Linked DNA regions of Drosophila melanogaster. The protein of the gene in region 2 interacts with the protein of the main gene of each other region in a pairwise test. Each region holds a gene or a part of one and is shown on either strand. Other genes may lie near its edges.

What was found.
Region 1: the proteins of Mer (region 2) and wts interact in binary tests that used the Drosophila melanogaster proteins (3 or more experiments, as listed by UniProt).
Region 3: the proteins of Mer (region 2) and mod interact in a two-hybrid assay, tested with the Drosophila melanogaster proteins (2 studies listed by BioGRID).
Region 4: the proteins of Mer (region 2) and sav interact in a two-hybrid assay, tested with the Drosophila melanogaster proteins (2 studies listed by BioGRID).

Annotation. Positions count from the first base shown.
Region 1 is NT_033777.3:30,801,516-30,808,454, reverse strand, and holds the start of wts (warts), read left to right. Parts: upstream 1-1,835; 5' UTR 1,836-2,167; intron 2,168-6,939. Other genes in the region: dj-1beta, read right to left, coding at 565-721, 788-1,107, 1,171-1,257. UniProt on the Drosophila melanogaster protein: Negative regulator of Yorkie (Yki) in the Hippo/SWH (Sav/Wts/Hpo) signaling pathway that plays a pivotal role in organ size control and tumor suppression by restricting proliferation and promoting apoptosis.
Region 2 is NC_004354.4:19,687,093-19,695,355, forward strand, and holds Mer (merlin), read right to left. Parts: upstream 6,409-8,263; 5' UTR 6,344-6,408; intron 6,158-6,343; 5' UTR 5,866-6,157; coding exon 5,209-5,865; intron 5,150-5,208; coding exon 4,940-5,149; intron 4,843-4,939; coding exon 4,606-4,842; intron 4,544-4,605; coding exon 3,740-4,543; 3' UTR 2,605-3,739; downstream 1-2,604. Other genes in the region: CG14227 (uncharacterized protein), read right to left, coding at 771-1,171, 1,240-1,424, 1,491-1,533, 1,602-1,833; CG14229 (uncharacterized protein), read right to left, coding at 7,475-7,772, 7,837-7,859. UniProt on the Drosophila melanogaster protein: Regulator of the Hippo/SWH (Sav/Wts/Hpo) signaling pathway, a signaling pathway that plays a pivotal role in organ size control and tumor suppression by restricting proliferation and promoting apoptosis.
Region 3 is NT_033777.3:32,049,565-32,056,695, reverse strand, and holds mod (modulo), read right to left. Parts: upstream 4,637-7,131; 5' UTR 4,520-4,636; intron 4,377-4,519; 5' UTR 4,300-4,376; intron 4,216-4,299; 5' UTR 3,962-4,215; coding exon 3,719-3,961; intron 3,451-3,718; coding exon 3,141-3,450; intron 3,074-3,140; coding exon 2,339-3,073; intron 2,273-2,338; coding exon 1,932-2,272; 3' UTR 1,722-1,931; downstream 1-1,721. Other genes in the region: krz (kurtz), read left to right, coding at 4,857-5,427, 6,827-7,131. UniProt on the Drosophila melanogaster protein: Its capacity to bind DNA and protein(s), and its differential expression during development suggest a role in the regulation of gene expression during Drosophila development.
Region 4 is NT_033777.3:23,057,388-23,064,629, reverse strand, and holds sav (salvador), read left to right. Parts: upstream 1-3,325; 5' UTR 3,326-3,446; coding exon 3,447-4,258; intron 4,259-4,646; coding exon 4,647-5,600; intron 5,601-5,671; exon of another isoform or gene 5,672-5,673; coding exon 5,674-5,734; 3' UTR 5,735-6,021; downstream 6,022-7,242. Other genes in the region: CG17111 (uncharacterized protein), read left to right, coding at 1-69, 168-348, 405-618, 677-874, 937-1,855; Ublcp1 (Ubiquitin-like domain-containing C-terminal domain phosphatase 1), read right to left, coding at 1,951-2,753, 2,811-2,970. UniProt on the Drosophila melanogaster protein: Plays a key role in the Hippo/SWH (Sav/Wts/Hpo) signaling pathway, a signaling pathway that plays a pivotal role in organ size control and tumor suppression by restricting proliferation and promoting apoptosis.

The DNA.
Region 1 (6,939 bases), on a different chromosome or scaffold from region 2:
CTTTCAGCTATTTTTAAAATTTTACAATTAAATGCAGCAGAATGTTTAATCAATGTAAATATTGAATATAACTAAATATATTAATAATGTACTATTTTGTAAATATATCGTCAGCAATACTTCCATTTGGCTTCACATCCCATTTTAATATATGCATTTTTAATTTCATTTATAGTCCAGTCATAACCAAATGAAATAATATAGATGTTTCTTTTTTCATGCCATATATGCATTTATATTTCATGACAAATTAAATTAAAGCCCATTGAACAATTTATTTTAACGCAGTTCAGTTGATTCATTATGATAGAATTATACTTCGCTCAAAACTAATTAAATGAAAACCGTTTGCTTCAAATAATGACATTTAAATTCACTTAAATAAATTTCTTTAATATATCTTTAACAACATGCCATTTCCTAGCTCTCCATTTAAACTTCTTTCAAATAGCAAATATAAAATTGAATCACAACTTCTGTCTTGAATAATTTTATTTTAATTCAGTTGTTGTTTGCATGAGTTGCTCTTGAAACAATCTGTTTTCATAAATAAGTGTAAATATGTTAGTTGTAGGCCACAAGAAGACCCTTGGCCACCTCCTGGACTTTCTCCTTGCCCGCCAGCTCCTCGGCGATTTTGAGGGCGAACTCGTAGGCGGTGCCAGGACCTCGACTGGTGATCAGATTGCCATCCTTGACCACCGTCTTGTCGTCCACATAGCTTAAAGAAATAATCAAAAGAAATGGGATGAAGATCATGGGAAAATAAACTTAAGAGGTGGTATACCTATAGTTATTCACCAGCTGGGGCTTCATTGAGGGATACGAGGTGAGGGATTTCCCGGAGGCGACGCCGTGCTTGGCCAAAACGGTGGGCGCGGCACAGATGGCGGCGATGAGTCCGCCACCAGACTCCTGGCTGCGCAGCAAGTCACCGACCAGCGAGGACTCCCCCATGGCATTGGAGCCACCCAGTCCGCCGGGCAGCACCACCACATCGAACTTATCCGAGGCAACCTGGGCCAGCGAGGTGTCCGGCAGGATCTGCACATCCCGCGAGCACTTCACCGCTTCCCCGCCATTCAAACCGGCTACGGTGACCTTGATCTATCATATAGTAAGTATAAGTATAGAACAGAGTGATTTAATGGAAAGGTTGAGAGCACTTACGCCCGCCCTTCTCAGAACGTCGGCGGCTATGATGAACTCCATCTCCTCCGCTCCGGGAGCCAAAATCACCAGCGCGCTTTTCGACATCTTGGTAAACTTAGAAAAGTGCCTTGAAATTTGAGGAAATCCAAAGAAAACCATGCAGATACGATAGCTTATCGATAGCGCTGTTCTGGAACGCAGCTTTGAGTTTTCCTTATCGAGGTTTCAAAAACTGAGCGGCAAACTAAAACACTTGTATAATTTGGTTTGACTTGCAGTTAGGCGACTAATTTGATGCATTTAAAACTTCTGTTTTTCACAGGAAGTTAATATTTTCATTCTTACTCAAAACAATGTTCTGCATTATATTTTAAAATATTAAGACTTTGAAATCAGTTGATTTTATTTATATGAGAAAAGGATTGCGTCTATGCTACGTGCTACACAGAAATGGTTTGAAACCTCATTAACAATTCTAACAAGTCTTGTTCTTTAAGTTAAAACCGATAACATTTACTTGCTCTCTATATTCTGTCGTATTACATAAATTTATATAAACTGATCACTGAAATATTTTTATATTTGTTTTCAGTATAATATCGATGTTTATATACCACGGTCAAATCCTATCGATACCTGATGTGGTTGCCAGACCAAGTACAGCTGCTCCTCCCTAGATCTCTGTCTATCGATATCGGTCTATCGATATGTGAACATATCTAGCACGACGGCAGCAACAAAACCACGAATTAATTTTACTAAATTTAAGCCAAACGCGCATCGGAAATGCCTGAAAAATGCGATTGAATGCACGCGAAAAGTGATGGGTTGCGAACGCGAGTGAATCAAGTGAAAATACGTCGGCAAATATCAGCGAATTGTCGTCAAAAGGCAAGGAAAAACGGAGAAAAAGAGGAAAAGCAATAAGTGCCGTGTGTGGGAAACGCGAAAAAGGCGAGAACAAAGAGGCGAAAAGCGAGGAAATTGCGTGGAAAACGTGGAAAACGCGAAGAAGGTAATTGCGGAAAATGCCTGGTGAAAATGCAACGTTTGCAGCTGGAATTTGCGTATCTTCCAGTCCAAAAAGAAAATGCAATATCTGTTGAATGTGTGCGAGTGTGTGTGTGTGTAAGCCAGTGCGTGTGTGGCTGCGCTGGTGTGCGCCCCATGTGTGTGTTGGTGTGCATTTCCAATTGCCTGTGTGGAAAAGCAAGGAAAACTGCACGGAAAACGCACGAAAAGCAATCAAAAATGTGCGGAAAAGTGCCTGAAAACGAAATGCGAAGCACACACACAAATGCAACAGGCTGTATTTACATATTTCGCTCTCGCTCTCTCGTGGAATAAATCAGTACGGCTGCGTGCGAGTGTGTGTGTGTGGGGGAGAACGGAGGAGACAAAGAGAGCGAGCGAGAGGTTGCTACACAAATCGGATTAAATTCTTCTGTCTTCCCTCTCTTTCTGGCGGAGGGTACTGGTGTCCATGGAAAACTATCAATCTCGTAGAATTTTTAACTTTATTCCAGTGTAATTTCGAATGCCAACGACATTAGGCAAGGTCAATGTATGCACGCACTTTTCTCGGTTTTCCCGTTTCCTCTTACCATTTTCCAACTGAAACAGCGCTTAATTGGCTGCGATATTCGTGTGTCGAAAGAATTACAAATTCGAGAAATCAACAAGACATTAAACAACGAAAACTGAGAGTAGTACAATTAGAGTAACAGCAATAACAATAATAATAGTGGTAATTGCGGGAATACAAGGAAAACATGGCGAAAACGGAGCAAGATTTGAATACAGTGAAGATCTACTAAAAGAAACTGCGAGGACTATTGTAGAATTGTGATATTTACTATAAAGGAAACTTTTGAATCATTGCAATTTGAAACTATGAAAATATTCCAGTTAGAAACAAATTTAATTTTCATATTTGATGGACTTAAGCAAAAAGAATGAGTCATACACAAATATCTAATAATCACAAAATGCTACTTTGATATGTAACAATAACCCCCACATATGGATATGAAATGGAAGAGCATATTCTTCATTAACCCACATAGGCAGAAGCCACTGTAGTCATAGCAGAGATCAACTTTGTGACAGTATGCGCGGTGTTGATGCAACCGTGGGCAGCAGCTGCCTCCGATTTGCATGTGACTAGAGTACACAATCAACGGAATGGGGAAAATCCGCGGGAGCAGAACAGTAAATGCACAGACGCAAGATGCAAATGCGAAATGTGGCACAAGTAACTGCGGCCCATTGTAATTTGTAATTAGAGGCAGCGCCGCCACTTCAATGTCAGTGCGACAATAATTTCTCAGGCGGCCCGTTTGTGCTCGCGAAAAAGCAAAAGCACGAAACACGAAGCACAAAGCAAGAAACGAAGGGGCGGGACATCGAGACCTCATCCTTTGTGGAGGCAGCCAGCCGAAAATTCATAAACTTAATTGCAATGAGATGCAGAATGTGTGTGACACAGCTATCTGTAGTTTGAATACTCTTTAGTAGCTAAAACTAGCAGCAACTTTATTGAATGGTTTTATACTTGCCATCAAAAGCAGACTTCAGTTCTACATACACTATTTTGTATAGAATGGAAGTAAACCATCGATTCTCTATCGGATTTCCAAATATTATGGTACACAGCTATGATATAAACAAGCCCACAAAACTTGCAACTGAAATCGAAGCTAAAGTCCAAAAAAACGACTCCGAAATGTGCAAAACTTTGTTGTTGCAGTCACTAGTGGGACGGACTACTACTATTACTACTACTACTACTGCTACTATTGTTGTTTTTGTGCTTGTTGGCGATGTTGCGATTGTTGTTTTTGCTTAAAACCAGCAAACAGCGGCGTCATCGTCAGCGACGCTGGAAAATCGCTGGGATTCCATTCACATTCCAGCATGCAATTCGCAGTGGATTATGTGAGTGTGTTGTTGTTTGTTGCTGCCTTTGTTGTAGCTGTTGTTGTAGTTGTGATAGTTGTTGTTGCTGCTGGAACAGGTGAGGCTCCATTGGCGTCGATCGTGTGCATTCCACAGAGCACACAGAGACACACACACACACGCGCGCGCATATAGCCAACGAGCAGAGAGCAGGGCAATAAATACCAATACAGTGGGCTGTTTTTGCTGTTGTTGCTCGCTTTTAAAAGTAAATGAACGATAAAACAAGAAAAGGAAGAGGAAGTTTGGCGCGGGGATTGTGACGACCATAGGGATACCCCGCAGAAAGTGTAGAACGCAATGGAGCATAGTGCTATATGGATTCCAGTGTAATCTTTAAACGATTAAACTCTTTTCAATGAAATGATTTTTGATACAAATAAAGTTAACGGATACTGAGCATCCTAGTTCCTAAGTCACATTGAAGAATTTTAGGCTATTTTCCCAAAGACCGTATATCCTAAGCTTGTGAGGGTGTTCGCTGATCTTGGGCTAATCCCAATGAAAATCCCCAACCCCCTGGAATTTTCCGCACCCCTTCTGCGCCCCTGTTTCGTTGCAATGCAAGTCGAGCGATGTTGACGACGAAAATGCAATTTAGCTCGTTTTTCTTGCTTGCTTCGATCCCCGCCCCCTTTTTGCCGACCACCTCCAGAGAGTGTGTGTGTGTGTTTGTGTGAGAGAGTGTATGAAAAAAGGGAAAACGAAACGAAAACAGAGAGATGGAGAGCGAGCGGGAGAAAGAGAGCAAGAGCAAAGGCGACCCAGCAGCAGCCGCCGACCCGCCCCCTTTTTTCCGCCTGCTGCCTCCCCTTTTCCGCCTCTGATCTTCTTCTCAGCAGGCTGTGGAATGCGCATTTTTGCAATAATAATCAGCAACTAATACTATTTTTATCTTCTGCCCTGACGCGTCGCACACTTCTTCGCCTGCCTGTGTGTGCGTGTGTGAGTGTTTGCCCCCTGCAGCGTGATTCTCTCTCTTCCTCTTTCACTCCCTCTCTCGCTCTCGCTCGCTCTCATTTGGAGGCCCGTAATTCCCTTGGGATTTCGGGATCTGTGGTTCATTACTACGCTTTCGTAATCTATCGGGTGATAAGTTATCAAAGTTGAAGGTAGATTATGGGTCAAAATCACATTTCTAAACAAATTAGTATAAACAACAGTCTATTTTCAGTGTGAAAAACACGTAAGAAAAACCAAGTGAGACTTTGTAGTTTCTGAAAAAGTAAACCCAAGTCAAAATGTGGTTACAAAATGGCAATTAAGTTAATCCCAAAGATACATGCAGCTTTTAGTAAATCTGTGTACACAGTGTAGTTCTCAGGTGATTAAACACCTTACAGGTGTCAAAGTAAACGCAATCTGAACAACGTAAATATGCAGTCCTAGTTTGCGAAAGTGATTAGAGTCTATTGCTCCAGAAAAGCGTTACACAGCTCGAAAAAAAGGGGTAAATATGAGTTCCAGAGATTTGGAAAATGTGTAAAACTAACGAGCCATCAACTATCTCAATTAATGCTAAATGTGAAATTCTGCCTAAGCGAAAATAGGAAATAAAAGCCATTTAGATATCGCTTTAGATACGAAGCGGCACTCGCCCTTTCATGTGGAGGCACAACTTTGGACGCAATTAAACAATTAAAGATTCCCATGGCGTAGCCGCTTAATAACGCATCTAAATCAAAATATTTCAGCAGAGTGCGTTGGAGGAGGGTGTGGAGAGGGGAAGGGGGGGCAGACTGGCGTGGATTGCAAGTGAATTGGATGTTTGGATTGTTAATTAGTTATTGGATACTACGAGCACACAATCCGGCCGTCTATTTGCGCAAAAATACTGAGCGGTATGCGTGGAATGCGAATGTTTCCCAACTTGGCACCAAAACATATCTACATATATACAAACATATAGCCACCATAGTTATATAGTCCGCCAGGGCCGATCTCTGTTGACACTCGGATTTGGCGCGTGGGGCCGAGATGTTTACCCACCCGGGATCCATATGCTCCGGCGACTTGTTATCATCTATGGCTTGTGTGCTCAACCCCGGCCAAATTCGCATTCCTTGGCAAAAGCTAATAGAGCGGAATTAAAGTAAAGAAGCAAAACAACAATACAATTTTGTCAACAGAATAATTAAAACTCATGTTTCGCCTTGCCATTTCGTGGCTCCCAGCTTTTTATGTTCGACTGAATTTACAGGGCAATCAAAACGCTGTTTGCGGATCAAGGCACCGAGTCATTAGTGTTTTTGGATGTCGGCAGATGTCCATGGCTCATTATCTCCGGATATATGTATGTACACATATTTGTGGACACGAGTGTGCTGCAAGGCATGTCAACTGTTCGGTGCGCCAACTTTATGAAGCCATCAATATGGGGGCACTGCTGTTCTAGGCCAACAAATATTCGAGATACAACCGACAATACAAAATGGAATAGAACAAATTCATTAGAATGCAATCGAATCTGTATAGTTGGATAGTATTCCCTCCTGCAGGGTATCATGCACTTCGATCAACCGCTGCGTTTCCCTTCCTCATTTGCACTTGGCACAAATTCGGCGAAATTCCGTGTTTGTTTACACATCTATCTGTCGATGGCTATTTCATAGTCAGGTGCGCACGCCACTCCCTCCGCTCCCCTCGAGCTCCACCTCCCCCCCCACACACACACACATATGGATACACGCATATAGTGTGAACTTAATGGTTCGTCATAAAATTGGGTTTGTTTTTGCGTTGCCGGGGGATTTTTGTTTCGTTTACATTTCCCCAGAATTCGAAACATGACATAAGAGCATAATTTATGTGCACCCCCACCTTTTCGCA
Region 2 (8,263 bases):
AAAAAGTTGTTGCACACAAGCGATTTGCATGCTAACGATATCTACTGTAAGTTAATGTGTGTATATAGGTATATATATATGTATATACATATATATATATATATCAAAATATTCCAAGGTGTTAACAAAAGACGTAAAACTATAAAACAAAAAAAAAAAAAAAAAAAAAAAACCAACTCCTTAGTAAAGAGAGGAAGCCCCAATAATAACTTGTAATGTAATTTACTCTAAGCTTTCGTATATAAAACCTATAACCGACCATTTGGGTTCCCATTTCCGATCAATCACACACACACACACTTTCGAAAAGCTTTCCTTCGCGCGCTCACCGTTTATATAAGATATGGATTCAGTGTATACCCTGTAAGTGCTACCACCACATAGCCTCGCTCGTCCGCTGTGGGATTGGCTGGTCGGCCGGCTGGCTGGCTGGCCGGCTGGCTGGCTGGCCGGGTTGTTGGTTGGTCAGTTGGGCTAGTGGACTAGTGGAACTACGTTTATTTGTTTAGTGAAGGAAGTGAGGCAAAGTAATTAAATGTAAATGATCACATGTTTGAAAACGTAATAAAGCTACTTTGGTTTTAGATTATAGCCAACCTCGTCTATTACTCTCTACTATCTCATTTACTTCCAAAGGCATCCGAAATAAAGCAGCTCACCCACTCTGGCTTAGTTTTAGTAAGCAGTACTTTCTAATTGCTATTCCAAATCTTTACTGCAGCTTAAACGTTTATAATAACTTATACACTTATAACTTATAACTTATGTCCTCATGCCGACAAGTTAACCAGAGCATCCCAGATCCAGTCCATGTAGAAAGTCACATTGGTGCAGACACTTAGGCCCGCACAGGAGCTCAAGCCGAAGATGATGATGCCAAACTGGAAGGTGCGATACGTGCCCCCGTAGAGAATTTTTGCGCTAAAGGGGCCACCGGAATCCCCTTTGCATGCGTGGCTCGTCTCGGTGTGGACGCATATCTGCGACTCGTCCACCTGCTGCTGGAACTTCAAGGTGCAGAGTTCGCGATCGATACGATCCCCAACGGAATGCTTCAGCACCCGTGGTATGCTGCGAAAGTCTTCTGCAGTGGTGCCCCAGACGGTCAACTGGAATCGGTCGATGGCCGCCACTGGCTCATTGATGAGCAGGCAAATGGGGCGCACGAAGTCTATAGGGGAAAGGCAGTTCTGGTTGAGACTTTCGAGGGCAACGACTGGATATCTCCCACTCAATTACCTGAATACTGCACCGCATGCTGCATCCGGAGTAGGCCAATGTCGTACTGTTGGGCTTGTATTTTGCCGAATCCGGCGTGCACGATCTTCTTGTCGATCCGAACGCAGTATGCGTTTGATAAGCGAGCACCCGAGCTGCAATTTTGTCCAGGATTCCAGGCGTCGAAATCACCCAAGTGCACCTGCCTACAGGGAGAGATTGGGTAATGGGCTGATGACCACCACATATGCTGGCGAATGGGCAGGACTTACATGGCTTCTCTAAATACGCAATGTGCTGCTGTCAAAACAAATCCTGGAATGGTTAAAATTTAGCCTTGCGTGAGCTAAATAAGACACTCATCATTTGGCACAAACACTCACTATGATTGATGAGCGATCCACTGCATTTGGCCTTGCCATTCACTATCACCGAAACAATCCAAGGATTGGCCTGTATGTCAGTGCTGCTATCAAAGTAATTCCACCAAGTTAGCTTAGCGTTAGTTGGAAGCGACCTTCCACATTCCGCGTCGAGCAGGAAAGCCGATCCCTCTCGGGATCCGAGAAATAGAGAGGCAAAGAGGATCAGGAGTGCCGCTATGACTTTCTTCATTGTAGCTCGAGGCCCGAATGGAAACCGAACTTCGTGCCATTGGGTTTTTATTATATAAATTTGACACTCACTTATCGCAAGTTCCTCACTTCTGCGAAAGTTGCAAATTGGGCTGTGTTCTACGCGTGCTTCAATGAAATTTTGGCTGGAACACATGCCACATCTATATCCATACATTTAATCACTTTTATTTCTTATAAAAAATTGATTAATTTTGGATTTTTGATTCACTCAATTAAATGGAATAGCAGAAATCAATATGGATAACATACATTTTCATTTGAACTATGACATTTCGTTTATTTAATATCTAATATTAAGTTTTTACCGTTATTTAAACTTTAAATAAAGTTCTCTTATTATAATTACTCCGCGTAATAACGGAACATAACAAGGTGTATAGGGTAGAAACACCCTTTGAAGATCTTGAATTAGACAAAGATACACTGATGGTGCGAACGAGTCCGGAGTACTCTTCGGATCTGAAACCCTATACCTTTGAATGATCCGTCTATCATATCGAGTGGGAAATTTCCTTTAACGCCGTGCACGCCAAGTTAAAGGATTAAGTACCCTTGCAGTTAAACGTTAGGCATAATCTATAGTCTACAGGTACATACATATCTATAGTCAGATTCAATTAAAATGCAATTCCTTTGTCTGAAATCTTGAAAAATTATAATAAATAAATAGAAATCCAATCGTTTAATTTGCGCCACTTTATTTTTTTAGCTATAGGATACACTGCAGGAAGACAGCATTTTCGTTCCGATTTGCATAGTTGTATGTATGTATGTACATATGTACATATGTATTTAAACGAGCTGACAGAAAATATATGGCAACAGAACTAAGAGACCATGGAATCGGATGGACATCCACAGTCTCTGGGATAACATCCGTAAACCGACCACGCTCAGCGGAATAGGAGGGAGCTTCAAGAATATCGTAATTAACATTCAGACTTAACTAGAACAAATCCGTGCCTGCAGTTCCAGTCACCGACTTTTAATCGGTAAATCACCGCTCTTTTAAAAATGTTGAGCGCTTAAACACCGCACAATTTGCACGAAAGCTACCGGTGATTTTAACATTGGCATGTTTTAGGAAATCATCGGTATGAAAAAAAAATCCCAAAAACATCGCTATTAATCACCGTTGTTTAAGCGCATTTTAACGGGCCAATCGTCCTTTGATTCAGCGTTTTTTCATCGCTGCTTTAGCGGTTTTGGGTTTTGCGGTTTATGGTTTTTCATCTTTGGGAGAGAGATCGCTCGCGAGAGAGTCGGTGTCGGTGAGAGAGTGTGATGTTTCTCAAGATCGATGAATTGGGGAACTGCAGGGAAGGTATCAACACACTGACAAAGTCAAAAGAGCGCCAAATCTTCGCTATTGATCACCGTTGTTTGAGCGCATTTTAATCGTCCTTTGATTCTGTTTTGCGGTTTATTAGTTTTCATTTTTGGAAGAGAGAGATCGCGTTCGAGAGAGTCGGTGTCGGTGAGAGGGTGTGATGTTTCTCAAGAGCGATGAATTGTGGAACTGCATGGAAGGTGTTGAATATCTTCTACCGAAAATAACGGTATCTAATCGCCCATCTACTTTATGAATATTTTTCGTGCGTAAGTGAATGTAAAATCATATATGTACATATGTATGTACATATGTACGTTTGCAATTGGTTTATTACAGCAGCGGCTTGAGCGAACAATCGAAAAACATTAAATATAGTATGTTATAGTAGGATATAGTACAACTACGGTTAAGGCACTCATACACTCTAGCACGCGCACAGGCACACACGCCAAATCGTAACGTATCGTACAGCTAGATGGGGTATTAGTCATGTCGGCGGATGCGGGGGTGAGGGGGGAGTAGGTGACGGAGGAGGCGGAGGCGGAGGAGGTCAGAGCTCCTCGAAGAAGGCGACACGCGCCTTGGTCGAGCCGGACTTGAGTTTCTTGAGCGTGGAGTATTTATTTTCGCCGGCCTTGATCTGCGCCTCGCTGAGGATGTCCAGGTTGCTCTGGTTCTCCTCAATCTTGTGCGGCGCGATCTCGGAGCGCAGTGTCTGCAGTTGACTTTGCACCTGCTTGGAGTTGCGCAGGTAGTCGAGGTGGTTGCGCTCCATCTCATTGGTGATCTGCTCCATCTCGTTGTCGGTGAGTATGAACTCCTTGGGCTCGAAGTCGTCCGAAATGCCGCTGGAGTTGTCACCTTGGACCAGGTAGTGTGACGAGTGGGTGGTCAGCTCGGCGCCGCCGGCGGTCTCCAAATCATTGGTTGAGCTGCTTGTGATCAGGGAGGGTGTGCTGATGGCCGCCATGCTGGACGCCGTATTCGCCGCGTGCGACACACTGGAGGCGGTCAGCAGGCTATCCGTGGAGGACTTGCGGCCGCTGTTGAGGAATTCGAGCAGGCGAGCGGTGGCCTCGCGCTCCGCCATTTTGGCGCAGATCAGCTCCTTGCGCAGCTTCTCAGTCTCGGCCTCCCGCTTGTCGTTCTCCACCGTCAGCTGGTGGACATAGAAGTCGGCGTCGCGAATCTTCTTCTCCAGGTCGTGCTTCTCCCGCTCGATTTTCATTTGTCGCTCGCGCAGCCGGTCCATTTCCGTCTTGAAGTGGTTTGCCTTGCACTCGGTCAGCTGCATCTGCTCCTCGTTGACACGACTCTTTTCGAAGTACAGCTCCTTGGTCTCTTCGGAACGCCGCTGGGATACAGGGAGAAACTCAATATTATAGATCAGAAGCCACTGGGCGGAGTGAGTCTTACAAGTGCATCGTTGGCCATGCGCATTTCGTTTTGCAGGTGCTCCATGCTCTTCTCCAGCTCGTAGCGCTCGTGCTCCGCCTTTTCGCGCAGCTTCTTTTCCCTGATGAACTTTTTGCGTTCGATCTGGCGGCGTTGCTTCTCCTCCTTGGCTTGGGCCTTCATCTGCTGGATTTCCATGGTGTCGGGTTTGCGGCGGCGCATATATAGATCGTGATTGCCCTTGCACAGGTCAAGAATCTGCAAAGCACACGATGCAAGTGTAGTATGAATATGGGAACATGAACATAGTGAAAATACATATACATATTTCAGTTGTCACAACTGCCCTCCTTACCATTTTGTTGATGTGGAGGTCCTGCGAGTAAAAGATGAAATTCGAAACCTTGGCATCCACCAGGCGAATGGTGAACTTCTTGTCGTCGAAGCTGACGTGCCGTATCTCGTTCCACTGGAACGTTGTCTTTGGCGTTAGCTTATCGCGCTCATCGTAGATGTTTAGGCCCACGGAGGTGACGCCCAGCCACAATTTGGTTTTGTTCTTATTCTGGTGGGGAACACAAACGATAAGATTCAGATGCGCCACGTGAAAATCAAGGCTCTCACCGTAATAGGAAAGTAGTTTACTCCGTACATGTCCAGGTCCTGAGCAATCTTCAGGTACTCCATCTCCACCTCGTCGCGCGTCATGGGCTCATGGTCCATGTACCATGTCTTGATCCGTTCCTCCCACATTTCGGGCGTCATCTGGTACTGATCGGTCACTCCCTTGGGCAGAAGCTCACCCCCGGCCAGCATACCGTCCTTGTAGGTCTCGTAGTCGTACGGACCGTATTGCACGTGCACCGCGTAGGAGGCCAGCAGCACGGACGCCTCCGGGCGGCAGTAGATGTCCATGGAGAGGATGCTCTGCTTGACCTGCAGGAAGAACAGGTGCTGCGTGATCTCCTGGATCAGCTCCTCGCTGACGTTCTCCGGAAAGAACTTGGCGTAGAAGCTAAACACATACACATTATTGCTAGCGTGCAGCTCAACGCGCTGGTCGCGCACCCGCTTCTCCATTTTCAGCCAGGACACGTTGCTGCGGGTGTCGACGTACTGCAGCCCAAAGTACCAAGACTCGCGCAGCCCGATGGTGCGGCACACCAGGTCGAACAGATCCTGGCCGGAGGCGCGCGGCTCCAGCTTGAACTCCAGCTCCGAGTCGAAGGTGCTCACCCGCACCGACAGGGATCGGTTTTTCTTGGAGCCGAAGGGGCTCATCGCGATTATGTGATGTGTTTTGATTAGATTCGACGCAATGTGATGTGATGCGTTAGATGCAATTGGATTGGAGTGGGAACTGAGTGCTCTTGTGGGCAATTCGTGATAACCTGTTGCGTGCAAAGGACTTGTTGCTCCTGCTAATCTGATTCTTGGTCCTTCTGGTGCTCCTGTGCCATCTAGTGGCACGATTCCTTGTTGCTGCTCCTGCGGTCCTCGCCTATCGCGGACTGCCTCATTTTGCAGCCAATTCGGTGCTCCGGGCAATGGCAATGGCAATTTGGGCTGATGGCTGTGAGCGGAAAGAAAGAAAGAGTAAGGCTCTTCGTTTATGCGGCGCTGCGATTTAAGAACTGCGTGGCCACGGCATCCTGGCGCCCACTATTCAACCGCTCACCCAGCTCCTTTGGCGTGGAAGCTGATTGAGGGTCGGCAGAAGGGTCTCCACATCGACCAAGTACGAGAATAGGCAACTTACTCGATTGTTTGCACCGCGAATCGCAATTGTACGACAAATTCCCGATATGCGCGACATAAACATAGACAGTGTGACCAGCCGTTAGATGCAGAAAAATCAGCTTTGGCAGACGCCTTGTATATTTAGTAGGGTGATTCCATTTCAATTTTATGGAGGAATCATAATGCTTAAATTAATCCATCTCAAACGACATAAAGCATTGAAATGTCAATATATGCACATGAAAACATATTAAATACCTTAAAAATATATTAACTTTCCATTTTCCAAAAGTTTTCAAAAACTGGCAAAACAGTGGTAGTCCAAATACCAAAATATACCGCAATATGTTTTTTCAAATTGTACACTCATTTTTAGTTATACGAATTTTTGAATGCTGCGAAATAGATTTGATCAGCTATTTGATGAAAGATGAATTAACTAAAATAACACAGTGCTATATAGAGTTGCCACCCTGTCAATGGTCACGAATTGGGAAAATGAAGTCCTTGAGCGCAATATTTGTTTTAAAGATTTGTCTAAGGATGAGATGTATTACTATGTAAATGTTTATTGGACGTATTCTTGTATTGCAGGTCCATGCTTAAATTCTCGGAATAAGCAAAATGACCATGTCAGCAGATGCGTATATAAACAATGAATAAGTCCAGCTTTCGTTTTATCAGGTCCCTGTAGCTTATTTTCCATCTCCACCGACTCAGCAATGAACTTGTACCCCCCTGGATATCGTATTTCATCGAAATAGGAAAATATAAAGATATGGAGGTTTTCTTACATTATTCTTAGAATAAATTATACATGCAGGATTATAAATACATATTGAAGGGATGGTAACCGATGAACATAGTTTATATATATTCATGTGCGTGTTTGGGGGACTCTTAGCTCAATTTATACTACTATTATTATGTGTATGCATCAGGGGTGATGCTAATGCCATGCAAGTAAACAATGCTTATCACACAAACGCAAGTGACTCCAGACACGGATATCCGAATCCGTGCGCAGAGAAGACTGAACGGAGGCGAATTACTTTGAACCTAGAGAGAGTGTTGCTGCAGATAACTCGTGTTGGCACTTAAATGGCTGTGCCAGGACTTGGACTCGCACACCGGAATCCATGATCACTAGCTACTGGCTGCTCCGCTTGATGCGCTCGACATGCAGGTCGTACAGCATCTTGTTCTTCTCGTAGTAAAATGGGTTTTGTTCGGCTCCCAGTTCTGGGTTGTATTCGTATCCGGCCGCCACACCGTTTCCGGCTGCATCGGACCCGCCGGATCCACCAGTCGCTCCTCCTCCCGACAGTGGCGGAATGCTGCAGCTGCTGCTGCTGCTGCTGTTCCCATCCTCGTAGTTCAGATTCAGGTTGTTGATGCGCTTCGAAAGGGGCGACTCGCAGGCCAGTTCATCCTCCCGGCTGCGCTTTCTGTGGAGGAATGGTGTGCGTTTGATTAGCGCTGGGACCTCACTACCTTGGTCAAGGTGATTACCTTGTCTTCAGGAATCCAGCCATTCCGATCCCGGGGCCAGTGCAGTGTGTTGGTTTCGGTTCCTATTGGTCAATTGTTTTGTCCTGCCCCGTTTCACAGCAGCGACATCCACCAGTGTGACTGCCTCGAAGTTCGAAATTGGCTGTGGGATATACCAATGGGTTGTGCTAAATATACCGCTAATCGAGGTTTGTTTTTTCTTAAATGGAAATCACAAATAGCCAACCCAAACAGCAGATATTGTTAAGAAAACCGAGATTATATTGTATCCAAACAAATAGAATATTTTTGGGAGGGAGGGATAAAGTGAATCTAAAAGTTGTCTCAGTGACAAATAGCGCCAAGTGAGAATATTTTATACCCAACAATTACTTCACGATGACACGATGAATACAGCTGCGGTTAAAATAATAACACTACTGCAGGT
Region 3 (7,131 bases), on a different chromosome or scaffold from region 2:
AACAATTACATTTAAAATGTTTTTAATACATTTTTTGATCACATTCGAAATTTCATTAAATTGCGTCAAACATTTACAAATTGTCCTTTATCAAAAAGAATTATGTATTGAATAGGAATTGTGGCACATGCCAAAAGAAAACAAAAACACATGAATAAAAGCAAGAAAAAGAAAGAAATGAAAATTCAAGTTAAGCTATCGGCGTCTTAAGGTGAATATACCGAAAACCAAAACGAATTAAAACTAATCCAACGAAAACCAAGGTTATTTAACCAGCGAAACTTGTAGACTGCTTCTTCAAAAAAATGTCTATACATTGGCCGAATTTTATGTGGTTTTATTGTACTACCAAGCACCTTTATTTTATTATTTAACAAATCTGTAAACATATTATATTTCAATGGATTTATAAATTTAATAATGTGGAAATTGAGCAGCACTATAAACATGTTCAGTACTAATATTAAACGAGGAAAAGCTTTTACCCAGTGTTTTCTTATAATTTTAAAACGTTTTCCATTTCATATTTTATTTCGTTTGACTTATATTTTTTTGTGACTCAGTTAAAAATGTATTATTATTTATAATTTGTTGTTTATGCCACATGGATCAAAAAACTGAATGTATCTCCAGCACACTTATACGCTCTTTATTTGTCTGTTTAATACAATACTACAATTATATAAAAATAACAAGAAATATTTTAAAAATCTTTCAGTTGTTTTATTTTTGTATTCTTTTATCCTTTGTGTAGGCATAATTTTATAAGCTTTGTGAAAGATAGTGTCACCTACTTCAATTCGTCATGAAAGAAAAAGCTCTCGTGAAAGTATATCTAAAAAAAGTAATATTCTAGGGCTTATAATTTGCCTATACAACGTATATGAGTTATGCACGGCTTAAACGAACTCTGAGATATATAAGTTGTCAAGTTTAAATAGTAAGCTTGTTTGCATTATGTATTTTCAGAAGTCCCACACAGTGCCCTTCACTTTAATTTGCCTTATTAGTGATTTTCTGCCTAAGCTATATTACGATAGCGATATTATATTTCTTATAAAACAAGGTCAAAAGCAACATGAGACAGAGACTTACATATAACACACAAAAACTTGTCAGTAAGCCAAACGCGTCACGAGCACAGTTTTTTGTAGCTTGAACGAACTATATATAAACAGAGTGATTGGGAAATTCCTAATCGAAAGGGTTTTTTTTAGGTTGGCTAAACTCCCTATACGTTGCTTTTATCCAAGTGATGATTTTTTATACATATTTACACATAAAAAGGATAAACTAATTTTTTGAACCAACAATTACTGAAATTTAAAGTACTAATCTAAATGGCATTTACAAAAAATATAAACATACATACAAACATTTACAAGTTTATACATATGTTAGCCAACCATATTAGATTTCTGAGTATGAACAAAAAAATTCAAAAAATTATAAAATACTACAAAAATGTATTACTAATAAATTAATTATACAAAGGAAATTCATATAGTTCTCGCTTTTTGAACAAGCGCAGCTGTACATTGGGCCATTTGGAAGGGATAGGAACCTATATACGAGAGTACCGAAGCGAGATAAAATTCAAACACAAAAAAAAAAACGGAATATACTGGAGATCGCACCTGTATACGTTCATATAAGCAGTAAATCGTTTTTTGAAGTATCTAGTTACCCAAAACCAAGACGTTGAATACAAAATTCTTATCGGGGTTTTTATTTACTTTTATTTAGTTCCATGTCCGATGCTTATAAAAATCGACATCTGCTTGAATACGGCTAGCATTTCTCCGGTAAAAATTTAATGGAGTATCTCTTATCAACTAAATCCATAACATCAAGTTGTATGGAATTATCGGGGCTGTGGCCGTATTTATGGTACTACGCAACTTAAAGCTAATTCTTGTAGTGTTCAAGTTCTAAAATCTTGCCCTTTTAACAAACGATTTACCACCATTCTCTTGTGCCGGGCGCTTGTTAAATGGTTTTTTACCAAAGTTTGGCTTAGTGTCCTTTTGGAACTTCCGCGGGGCGCGGGTCTGACCAATAGCTAAGCGTTTCTTTAACAATCTATGCTTCAGCAGAGAGTTTGGCTCAATAAATATAGGGGCGTTGTTTACAATGCTTTCATTAGCCAAGAAAGATTTGCAGAAACCCTCATCGTCCTTGAACTTTACTACCGCTTTTTGGCCCAACATTATGATGCTTTCGATTTCGCCGCTATCGTTAAACACTTTCCGCAGGTCGGCTTCAGTAGCATCTACAACGAAATTTTACATGATAATGATTAATAATTTTAAACAATTTTACGAAACGGGTAACCCACCTGAAGTCAAGTTCGTCACAAGAATGGCCCTCCCCGAGGTGCTGCGTTCGAATCGGTGAAGCTTCCACTCAAACTTATTAACAGTCTTTCCGTCGAGTTGTGCTAAAGCCTTCGTGGCGGCATCCGACTGCTTGAACGTGACAAAAGCTAAAACTGCCTTGCTGCACACAACGTCGATTTCTTCAACATCACCAAATTTTTTGAATATCTTTTCTAGAGCGTCGGAGCTGTAAGACTCGTGTTTGCCCACATTTTCGACAACCAAGGTAAGTTCACTGGTACGTGAAATCGATTCTTGTGAGATCCGACGAACCGTTATAAAGCGAGAAAACAGCTCAGTGCTATGCAGTTTAAGAGCCTTCGGTATGTCATCGACCGACGCCAAACGTACAAAAGCTCTGGGCATGAGGCGGTTACTGGATATAGTCACCGCCTCCACGGGAGCTACCTTCTCAAAAAAGGTTTTTAAGTCGTCCTTGGTAATATTAGGTCCAATCAGGCCAACCACCACCGTGCGTTCGTTGTTCTCTTCCTTATTTCTCGGTTGGGACACAGACAAAACATTGTCTCCAAGGGTTAACGCTTTAGGCTTAGCCTGCAGAACAGCTTCTGCTCCAGTTGACGTATCAAAGGCAATGAGAACTGATTTATTGCCATTCAAATTAGTGAAACGCTGCAAAGCGGAAAGTCGTCCGAACTTGGCGAACAATGCGACCAAGTCCTTGTGGAGATACTCTATGTGGAACAAATATACTAAGTTTAAATATACTTGAAAAATGAAATAATAAACCAGTTACTTTACCGTTTGGTAGGTTTGTGACAAAAACGATCTGGTTTTTTGGCGTTCCCAGCGGAATCTTGCCAACCTTTACTTTTGGAATTCCTCTATTTTCTTCGGACTTTTCAGAGTTGGCTTTTTCTGATTTCTTGGAAACTGGCTTCTCTACAGGCGCTTCTTCATCATCATCGGATTCATCTACCTCATCCGCGCCTTCACTTTTGGAAACCTCACCAGGCTCCAACTCATCGTCATCATCATCTTCCTCATCGTCACTATTGTACTCTTCATCTTCCTCAGCCTCGTCGTCAATTAAGCCCGCTGCCTCTTCGGTCTGAAAAGTAGACAATTTTCTTATAACCGCTGATGGGAGAGCACCAATAAAGACAATTTTTTTTTTATCGATATATGAACCGAGTCGGTATAAAACCAGAGGATCGTGGGTTATGTGCACTCGTCTTATAATTATAAAATCTTTACAACCACGTGGCAAAGAAAACGTAAAATGGATTCTTATCCATGCAGATCTATATATACGTGCATACTATGCATGTAATGTTAGCCATATCCATTCAGAAGACCACGTTTTTTTTATAGCTTACCTCAAAGTCGCTGTCGTCCCCTGGCTGCTCGTCATTTTGCTCCTCCACATCAGACTCGTCCTCTTCACTGAACTGCGGCACTTCTTTAACAGGCTGTTTTCTGGATTTTTTGGAAGGCGATTGGGGGACTACTGTCTCCTCTTCCTGTACCTTTGTGGACTTGGTTACCCGTTTGGCCAAAGGCTTTTCCTCTCCATTCGTAGCTTTTTTTCCTTTGACGGTGACGGCTTTCTTTTGGGCCATTTTGACAGCTTTTAGAGGTTTTCTGGGCAAAATTAGCAAAGTCAAGTTTGGACTGAACAACGCGTGGTTTCGTTCAATAAAATGCACGTGGAAAAGAGGGACAGAACAGTGTGACCGTTGTGCTCTATCGGTGCTAAGGCTGATTAAATAAAGTATTTTAGAGACTTCAATCTCATTTTTATAGCTCTATTCCACTACTAAATATGGTTTAAAGTCCGTTCATGCACATGTATACATATAAAAATAATAAAAGCCTTTAAAAAATAAAATAAATATTAAACAGTTTATATAAAGTATTTATTTAAGACTTAGGATACAATCTATGATTAGATATTTACCAACGGTCTGATTTTACATGTGTTTATACATTCCAAATGGTAAGTTTCCTCAATCATCAGCTATGAATCATCTGTTTCTAAAGGAATTTATAATATATATATTATATTTCATTAAAAAGCCAAGTCAACCTGCAGTTGCATTTTATCTTAGTAGGAAACTTAATGTTAATTCAAGCAATTGTTAATGGTATTGAAAGAAAAATTATTAAAAGTCACTTACTATGGGCCAGGGCACACTTAGGAAATATAAATAGGTGCCAAAAATGCAAAATAAATATTAATTATAGGCTGCGATTATGGTACGACCAAACATATATCGGTTTGTTCGCACTGAATTGAAATACCAGAGAAGTACATAATTTGTTAGTATGTAATATTCCCTGGTATTTTTCCAATGACTGTCAAGCAGTGCTGGTAAATGGCGGAACAAGTATACACATAAAAAATTAAATTGCAGCACAAGTCCCGCAACGCACACATATATTTATTTAACGGAGTTCCAATTAAGCAGGAACAGCAGAAAAGCAGAATAACAAGCATAACCGCCAAATAACATAATGAACGGTGGTGGTGGAGGAAGTGGAGGAGCAAATGTGAGCAATGGCTCCAGCACCAATGTAACAGCTGCCGGGAGCACTGGGGGCGGAAGCGCAGGCGACGAGACTGGTGGAGATGCCAGCTCCAGACGCCAGGCGACTCGGGTGTTTAAGAAGAGCTCCTCCAACGGCAAGATAACAGTTTACCTTGGCAAACGGGACTTCGTCGACCATGTCACGCACGTGGATCCCATTGACGGTGTTGTCTTCATTGATCCAGAGTACGTAAAGGACCGTAAGGTTTTTGGCCAGGTGCTTGCCGCCTTTCGGTACGGACGTGAAGACCTAGATGTTTTGGGATTAACGTTCCGTAAGGACCTGTATCTGGCGCATGAGCAGATCTATCCGCCCATGCAGCTGGACCGCCCGATGACCCGGCTTCAGGAAAGGTTAATTAAAAAGCTGGGGCCGAACGCCCATCCGTTTTATTTTGAGGTTCCGCCCTATTGCCCAGCCTCTGTGTCCTTGCAGCCGGCTCCTGGAGATGTGGGCAAGTCTTGCGGAGTAGACTACGAGCTGAAGGCCTTTGTGGGTGAGTCTTTGTGGGTCTGATCTTGTGGGTGTGTCCGTATACGGTGGTCAGTCAAAGTCAAAATCATTGATATTTCGCAGTGTGGCACATACCGTGTTTATTATATATGTTGCAATACATTAAATTTACAAATTTACAAATTTTTCTTTTTTCTTTACAAATTTTTCTTTTACCTTAGAGCAGTTAAATTGCGGGTACTATTGTTTCTGAGAATAAAATAATTTATTAAGAATATGGTTACAGTAGCAAAACTAGCTTTGTTCTTTTCTATAGAAGTTAGACTGTAAATTTCTTATATGTGTGGTTTTGTGTAAGTTAGCGCGTGCATCACGCGGTTGGGAACACAGGGTTAATCAATCCAACTACGTCGGGCTGATGACGCAGCGTTCACCTAATTGAAATTCGACACTTCTAATTGGAATTTGAATCAACCGAAGTTGCAGCGCAGTTAATGCTGTTGTTCGCCTTAACCAGGCGCCGCAGTTGGCGGTCTGACGATTTGTGTGCCAACAGCAAAGATCTTACATAGTTTCAAAATGTTTATTTGTTTAGTTTCTAATCTGTATTTAATAATTAAAAAAAGGTTTAAAGAATTTGTGCTTTATTTTATTAGTAGAAAGGTTTTTGGTTTCTGTAAATTTTAAATTTTTCATATTTTCGTACGATCGCCGAGCTCCACTCGCATATATATTATGTGCCCGTGGCACCCCCTTAATACATTCTCTGTTCAATAAATATTATTACCTATTGCCCTATTTTGTTTACACATTTTTGTGCTTTTATAGTTTCTGTTGGAATTTTATTATTATTCAGCAGCCAAATTGTTTACTGTTATAAACAGAGATTAATAAAATAGCAGCAATTGGCGTGTTGTTGGGTAAAAGAGTTTATAACAAGAACTTAATATTTATTTTTTCTGTATATAAGCCCAAATTCAATTTAAGAATAAAAACAACAATGTTGGAATTTGTACAGTTGGAAGAAACGATTTCTCAGTGCTTCTCTGCTTCCCCTCATGACAATTGAGTCAGCATTTTTATTTACTTTGCGTCTGTTCAATTGTGTATCTAATGTTCCTAGCTTTTATGTTTTTGGGATAACCAATTATATATATTTATGCGTATTTTTAAAGCAATGCTATTGATGATCAATTAAATGAATGTATATGCATATATATGAATAATATATATATATATATATATATATATATATATCCATATGTAAATGCCAGTAATTGTCGGCTTGTGATTAAACATCGTGGAATTCTATACATGATAGACTCAACATCAACGACAAATTTTGTAACGAATCGGACTACTGACACACCCGAGCGTCATGGGTTTTCTTCAACAAACATACATACATTGATGCCATTATTCATAATGTTTATCACTAATAGGTGAGAACGTGGAGGACAAACCCCACAAGCGGAACTCGGTGCGACTAACTATTCGCAAAGTCATGTACGCACCATCCAAAGTCGGTGAGCAGCCATCGATCGAAGTAAGCAAGGAGTTTATGATGAAGCCAAACAAGATCCATTTGGAAGCTACTTTGGACAAGGAGTTATACCACCACGGCGAAAAAATATCGGTCAACGTTCATGTGGCCAACAACTCAAATCGGACGGTAAAAAAGATTAAGGTATGTGTCCGGCAGTTTGCGGATATTTGTCTCTTTTCGACGGCGCAATATAAATCTGTA
Region 4 (7,242 bases), on a different chromosome or scaffold from region 2:
TACGAGCTGTACGCCAACAGCAGTTTCATCTATGCGGAGGCCAGGTATTTGGGCCTCTCCCAAAAAGAGGTGTGTCCGCCGCGCTTCGGATGTCGCGCATTATGATTGTAATCGAAATGGATGGGGGGTCGGATGATTGATTGATGGCTTCTACCTCCGTATTGCAGTGTCAGGCGATGTGCTCCCACGAGGCGAAGTTCTACTGCCAGGGTGTCTCCTTCTACTATGTAAACCAACTCTCGCTGTCCGAGTGTCTCCTCCACTCGGAGGACATTGTATCCCTGGGTCCGCGAAGCCTGAAGCTCCGTGAAAACTCGGTGTACATGCGGAGGGTCAAGTGCCTGGATGGTAAGATCTTCTGGGGATGTGGTATGCTCAATCTTAATCGATTCCTTATTCCGCAGTCCGGGTTTTTTGCACCCGCGATGAGATGACCATTAAGTACAATCCCAAGGACTGGTTCGTCGGCAAGATCTATGCCAGCATGCACTCCAAGGACTGCCTGGCCAGAGGATCGGGCAATGGGAGTGTTCTGCTGACGCTCCAGATCGGCAGCGAGGTAAAGGAGAACCGCTGTGGCATCCTGCGTGCCTACGAAATGACACAGGAATACCAAAGGTAAGATGAAGTCCAATGTCCAGTCCATTTTTTTAATTATATCATTTGCATTATTTAGAACGTTCATATCTGCTCTGGTGGTCATCCAAAACAATCCAAATGTGCAAACCCAGGGCGACCGGCTCATCAAGGTTGGCTGTATACAGAGCAATGCCACCACATCGCTGGGCGTTTCGGTTCGGGACAGCAGTGTGGATAGCTCAGAGCCTGTGCCCAGCGCCATTGCACTGGAGTCCTCATTGGAGTACACAGAACAGTGAGTGTATTCTTAATAGAATCCCTCAAAATGCTTAATTCTATCACAATCGATACCTGCAGCATGTTCCCACACGAGGGTGTGGTTCACTACAACAGCAGCACTGGGCCCCATCCGCATCCCAGCATCTCGCTTCAGATTTTGGATCTATCCCACCAGCACGAGACCAACGACGTGCAGATTGGACAGAACCTGGAACTACAGATTGTGGCGGAGTACAGCCCACAGCAGTTGGCAGAGCACATGGAGTTGCAGCTGGCACCACTACCCGACTTTCGTGCTACCTCGCTGGTGGCCAAGACAGCGGACAATGAGAACTTTGTGCTGCTGATCGACGAGCGAGGATGTCCCACAGATGCCAGTGTGTTTCCCGCTTTGGAAAGGGTACACACAGCCAGCAGGAGCATGTTGCGCGCTCGCTTCCATGCCTTCAAGTTCTCAGGAACGGCCAACGTAAGCTTCGATGTAAAGATTCGCTTCTGCGTGGAGCGCTGCTCGCCCAGCAATTGTATTAGTTCATCCTGGCAACGGAGAAGGCGACAGGCTGACCAACCAGATCGTAGACCGGAAGACCTACGAGTTCAGAACCCCGTGTACATCTCCACGGTGGTGGATGTGGCTCCGCAACCAGACAACTTTACCAGATCGCAGGAGGAATTGCCCCTCAACTACAATATCCGGGTGCACGGTCCGGACCAGAGCAACACCAATAGTTATCTGTACGGCGAGCGGGGAGTGCTGCTCATTGCTGGCATAGACGACCCGCTGCACCTGGATAACGTTTGCATCAACCAGAGCCTGCTGATTGCACTGTTCATCTTCTGGCTGATCTGTCAAGTTGCCCTGCTCTTCGGCTGTGGAATGGTGCTGCAGCGCTACCGCCGGCTGGCCAAGCTCGAGGATGAGCGACGCAGGCTGCACGAGGAGTACCTGGAGGCGAGGAGAGTCCACTGGGCGGATCAAGGCGGATACACACTCTAATTGACGGCTGGAACGCAATGCGTATAAAATGCATCTTAATTTAATAAACATAAATCTAACATAAATCTAACAAATGTTTGCAACCGAGGATAAGTTCAGGAGTTCTTCTTGGGATGGTAGTGCTCCCACTTGCGATGGTTTAGCGAATTGAAATCCGGGCAGTGGTGAGCGATTTTGCGCAAATAGTCGGACAACTTGAGCAGCTCGGTGTCCGTGCCACGGTTGAGATGAGCCTGACGGAATGGGCGGATCTTTAGGCCGGACTTTGGGTTCATAAGGAAGTTGCGACGGATGTCATCAAACATGATAGTGTTGCTCGAGTTGTATTGCTTGTACAGGGCCCAGATTACACCAAGCGGCTTTACGTCCACCACACCGCGCTCCGGCACATGAACTGATATCATGGCGGTGGAGTCCAGATAGAACATCACCTTGTAGTTATCGTTACTGGCCACGCCCAGCAGGCGCATCTTTTCCTCGATCCAGCGCATGCTGGTGGCGGACCAGATGACAATGTCGTAGTCCTCGTAGGCGGAAGTCAGAAACTCGTGCAGATACGGACGCATTAGCTCCGTGCCTGTTTCAGCAGGCGATCGGTGATCGAATAGGGTATAGTCTATGTCCAGGACAAGCAGCTTCTTGCCCTCACGCGGCGGCGCTAACTCCTTGATCTTGTAGTCTCGCACACGACGCTGCACCTTGGCCAAATAGACGGCGGAGTGCTCCACGGACTCTTCGCGTTCATCGGCGTCATCGAAGTCGTCGACCACTTCGCCAATATTATCGGGCAGGCTGCACGCATCCTCGATATCGGCCTCTGTGGAGCCCACCATCATAAGCTTAAAGTTGGGCTTCAGCTCCAAAGCGCTGATCTTCACATTGTCGGCTGCTGTCTTTCCTGCAAGTCATTGGATCTTAAAACTGAAATATCCCGAAGCCTAGGAGTGTCACGCACCTTTGTACTTCAGGTTGAGCAGCTTTTGACGTTCCGGACGCACCTGTGTCTTGCGGAATATCTCGTGACGCAGCACTTCCACGGTGTCCTGGTCGGTGAGGTCCACCGGGTACTCCTTACCACTCCATTTTACAATCACTACCACTTCTTTGACCTCCATCTTAGCTGGTTTCTATTCCGCTATTAATTTATCACACCATATATGGTAATGTATGTTTGTTGGATAGAATCCAGCAAGTGGTTTGCAATAGTGTACCTTAAAGATATTAACTAATTTATTAGAAGACCATATAAACAGTCGAGTTGTCAGAAGTCGATAGATACTATCGATTGCAACGCCCGGCGTTATCGATTGCAATCGGCTTGCAATAAAAATAATGATTTTTTGATTATATTTTTCAGAGATTATTAAAAAATATTTTAAATTTTTTAAAATTATATATTTAGCAATTAAAGAAAGTCATGCAAAGACATGAGGAATGTCCCCAAGTTGCCAATAGGCGATTGTTTCGCCAGTTCATTGGCCACACTGGTCACCAGCTGAAAACACAAAAACCGATCGTACAGCATAAATTTAGCTCGAAAATGGACTAAACAAAGACAGCGATCCGGAATCCGAGCGGAAACATAGTCTGCATGAACTATCTAACGATCCTGCTGTGCAACCGAAAACCGACGATGCTCTCGCGCCGGAACAAGGAGAAGTCCCAGCACAAGGAGGGCGTGGTGGGGAAGTACATGAAGAAGGACACCCCACCGGATATTTCGGTGATCAATGTGTGGAGCGATCAGCGGGCCAAGAAGAAATCGCTGCAGCGCTGTGCGAGCACCTCGCCCAGCTGCGAGTTCCATCCGCGCAGCTCGAGCACCAGTCGGAACACCTACTCCTGCACGGACTCGCAGCCGGACTACTACCATGCTCGACGAGCACAGAGCCAGATGCCCCTGCAGCAGCACTCCCACTCGCATCCTCACTCTCTGCCCCACCCCTCCCATCCGCATGTGCGTAGTCATCCTCCCCTGCCGCCCCACCAGTTCCGCGCCAGCAGCAATCAGTTGAGTCAGAACAGCAGCAACTACGTTAATTTCGAGCAGATCGAGCGGATGCGCCGTCAGCAGTCGTCGCCACTGCTGCAGACCACATCATCGCCGGCGCCGGGAGCCGGAGGATTCCAGCGCAGCTACTCCACCACCCAGCGGCAGCATCATCCCCATCTGGGTGGTGACAGCTACGATGCAGATCAGGGCCTGCTAAGCGCCTCCTATGCCAACATGTTGCAACTGCCCCAGCGGCCACACTCGCCCGCTCACTACGCCGTCCCGCCGCAGCAGCAGCAGCATCCACAGATTCATCAACAGCACGCCTCGACGCCGTTTGGCTCCACGCTGCGGTTCGATCGAGCTGCCATGTCCATCAGGGAGCGACAGCCCAGGTATCAGCCAACTAGGTAAACTGCCTCTTGAAGTACTATATTTGAATAGATAGCGCGCGATTGATAAAGTGGGTAGAGATAATATGAGCAGCTCTTGATTAAAGGAATAATCCGTAAAAACTACATATTGTCAAAAAGTGCTTAATATTATTATAACTTTTAAACAATGACAATGCACGAAATGTTTTATTTTCGAAACATTTATTGTTCAAAGATTTTTTATTTGATAACAGATTGCTTTATTTATTTACAATAAGAAAAGTTGATGTACAAAACCGGTTTCTACTCGCCTTACAATAATTAAAACAATAACACAATATATGATTTTCTGTACGAGGAATATAATGGAATATATATGATATATACAACATTTTTAAACACATTTTCTCTTCTGTTTCCACAGCTCTCCGATGCAGCAGCAACAACAACAACAACAACAGCAGCAGCAGCAGCTGCAGCACACACAACTGGCAGCTCACCTGGGCGGCAGCTACTCCAGCGATTCGTACCCGATCTACGAGAATCCGTCCCGCGTCATCTCGATGCGCGCCACGCAGTCGCAGCGATCGGAGTCGCCCATCTACAGCAATACGACGGCCTCGTCGGCCACGCTGGCCGTGGTTCCGCAGCATCATCATCAGGGTCACCTGGCGGTGCCATCTGGAAGCGGGGGAGGATCCCTGAGCGGCAGCGGTCGTGGTGGCAGTTCTGGCAGTGTTCGCGGCGCCTCTACCTCAGTGCAATCACTGTACGTCCCACCGCGAACTCCGCCCAGTGCGGTTGCCGGAGCGGGAGGCAGTGCCAATGGGTCGCTGCAGAAGGTACCATCACAGCAATCGCTCACGGAGCCCGAGGAGCTGCCTCTGCCGCCCGGCTGGGCCACTCAGTACACGCTACACGGTCGGAAATACTATATTGATCACAATGCGCATACCACGCACTGGAATCATCCGTTGGAGCGCGAAGGTCTGCCGGTGGGCTGGCGGCGGGTGGTGTCCAAGATGCATGGCACCTACTATGAGAACCAGTATACCGGGCAGAGCCAACGTCAGCATCCATGCTTGACCTCCTACTATGTCTACACGACGTCTGCGGAGCCACCGAAAGCGATTCGACCAGAGGCGTCGCTCTATGCCCCACCCACGCACACTCACAATGCACTGGTGCCGGCCAATCCCTATCTGCTCGAGGAGATCCCCAAGTGGTTGGCCGTCTACTCGGAGGCGGACTCGTCCAAGGACCACCTGCTGCAGTTCAACATGTTTAGCCTGCCGGAGCTGGAGGGCTTCGACAGCATGCTGGTGCGGCTCTTCAAGCAGGAACTGGGCACCATCGTGGGCTTCTACGAGCGCTACCGGTAAGTGAGCGGCCACATGCCGCTGCATTCTCCGCTCTCCGAAAAGCCACTACTCTCTTGTTACACCTTTCAGTCGCGCTTTGATACTCGAGAAGAATCGACGCGCCGGCCAGAACCAGAACCAAAACCAGTGACCCGGTGACCAGGTGACGACTGACTCAGACCACATACTCGCCAGCAGCTATATGCACATCATAGTGCTCCTGTAATCGACCTTTAACTTATTTAACCATCGACTCATCGCGAAATCAGTGCCTTATACGAAACCAGACGAGATGGTAGCCAAGCAGATCCATGACAGTTCGAATGCCTTGATGAAACGTAGAATTGTGCTACGTTCTATATAACCTTAATGTGATTTGAGCTTGGCGTTTGTTTGTAATGTGAGCAAAGAAAATTAAACTGGTTTACTGATCATCTTACCTGCCGAGCGCAATTGTAATCGATGTGCCACCTGAAACCCCACAGGTATTTAACCTGGGAGTCCGATTCATCGACGGATGTTTTGGAAATTCAGCGCCGCGAAGTGTAAATAAAGGGCAACAGTTGGTGGCCAAGTCTTACTCGACTTGGCTTGGCACATATTTCCGAGTTCCATGCCAAGTTTTCGATTCGCTTGCAAAAATTATGCATTGGGCACAAGTGAATCGTGGCCGATTCTGTATTGGCAAAAAAAAAAACAGCGCTCCAATAGAAAGTGAATCTTATGTTTGTTTTCGTTTGGCTATGCTTATTTTTAGTCGAACCTGATAATTCATTCAGTCGCCTCTTATCGAATGCTTATAAAACTTTATAGTCACTGTTTCTGCAGGTCCCTCAAAAACAGTTTCTACTGCTGATAAGAAGTTTTCGAAGTCTGGGGAGTATTCGGCATTGGAAAGGCCAAAAGTTGTGTTTTATTATATTTTGAACATATTAAACAGGATACATAAAACGAGAGTTTTAGATTGTAATTACATTTGTCATATCTTTTGCTAAATTGATAAGTAAACAGAAAATATGACTCGATGGATATTATTGACTAATAATATATATTTAGGGGTTTGGTATGATTACTTTGTACTGTGAGATACAAGTTCGTTTGTCCCACAGATACTTTTCAATTCATAGCTTATCCTACAGATACATTTCAATTCATAGCTTATCCCGTAGATACATTTCCATTCATTGCTTATCCCACAGATACATTTTAGCATATTTTTTTTGAAATTTGAATTTGAAAAAAAAGTGTTTTTTTTTTTTTTGTTTTGAGAACTACTCGTCTTGTCAAAATATTTAACTGTTCCCGACTGAAGTGCCCACCTTTTCGGCCGCCGGGTTCTCAAGTGCAAAAATAATGTATAATAAAAAGCCAAGATACGTCGGCGGTCCGCTCTCGCCCCACTTGTTGTTGCTGCTGCCGCTGGTGCGTCGCTGCCGCTGCCGCAGTCGACGTCGACTCCATCGCTCCAATATTTAAACGGATCCATTGGATCGCGCACTCAGTCGCACTGGAGAGTCGCCATCGCAGCCATCATCATAGCATTCCATTCCACTTGTAGCCATCGGCAGTCGCTCAATCGTCAGTTGGGACACATTATTTAACTTCATTCTTAACGTGAGTGAATTGATGTGTTGGGTGGCGATCATGCATATAGCATAG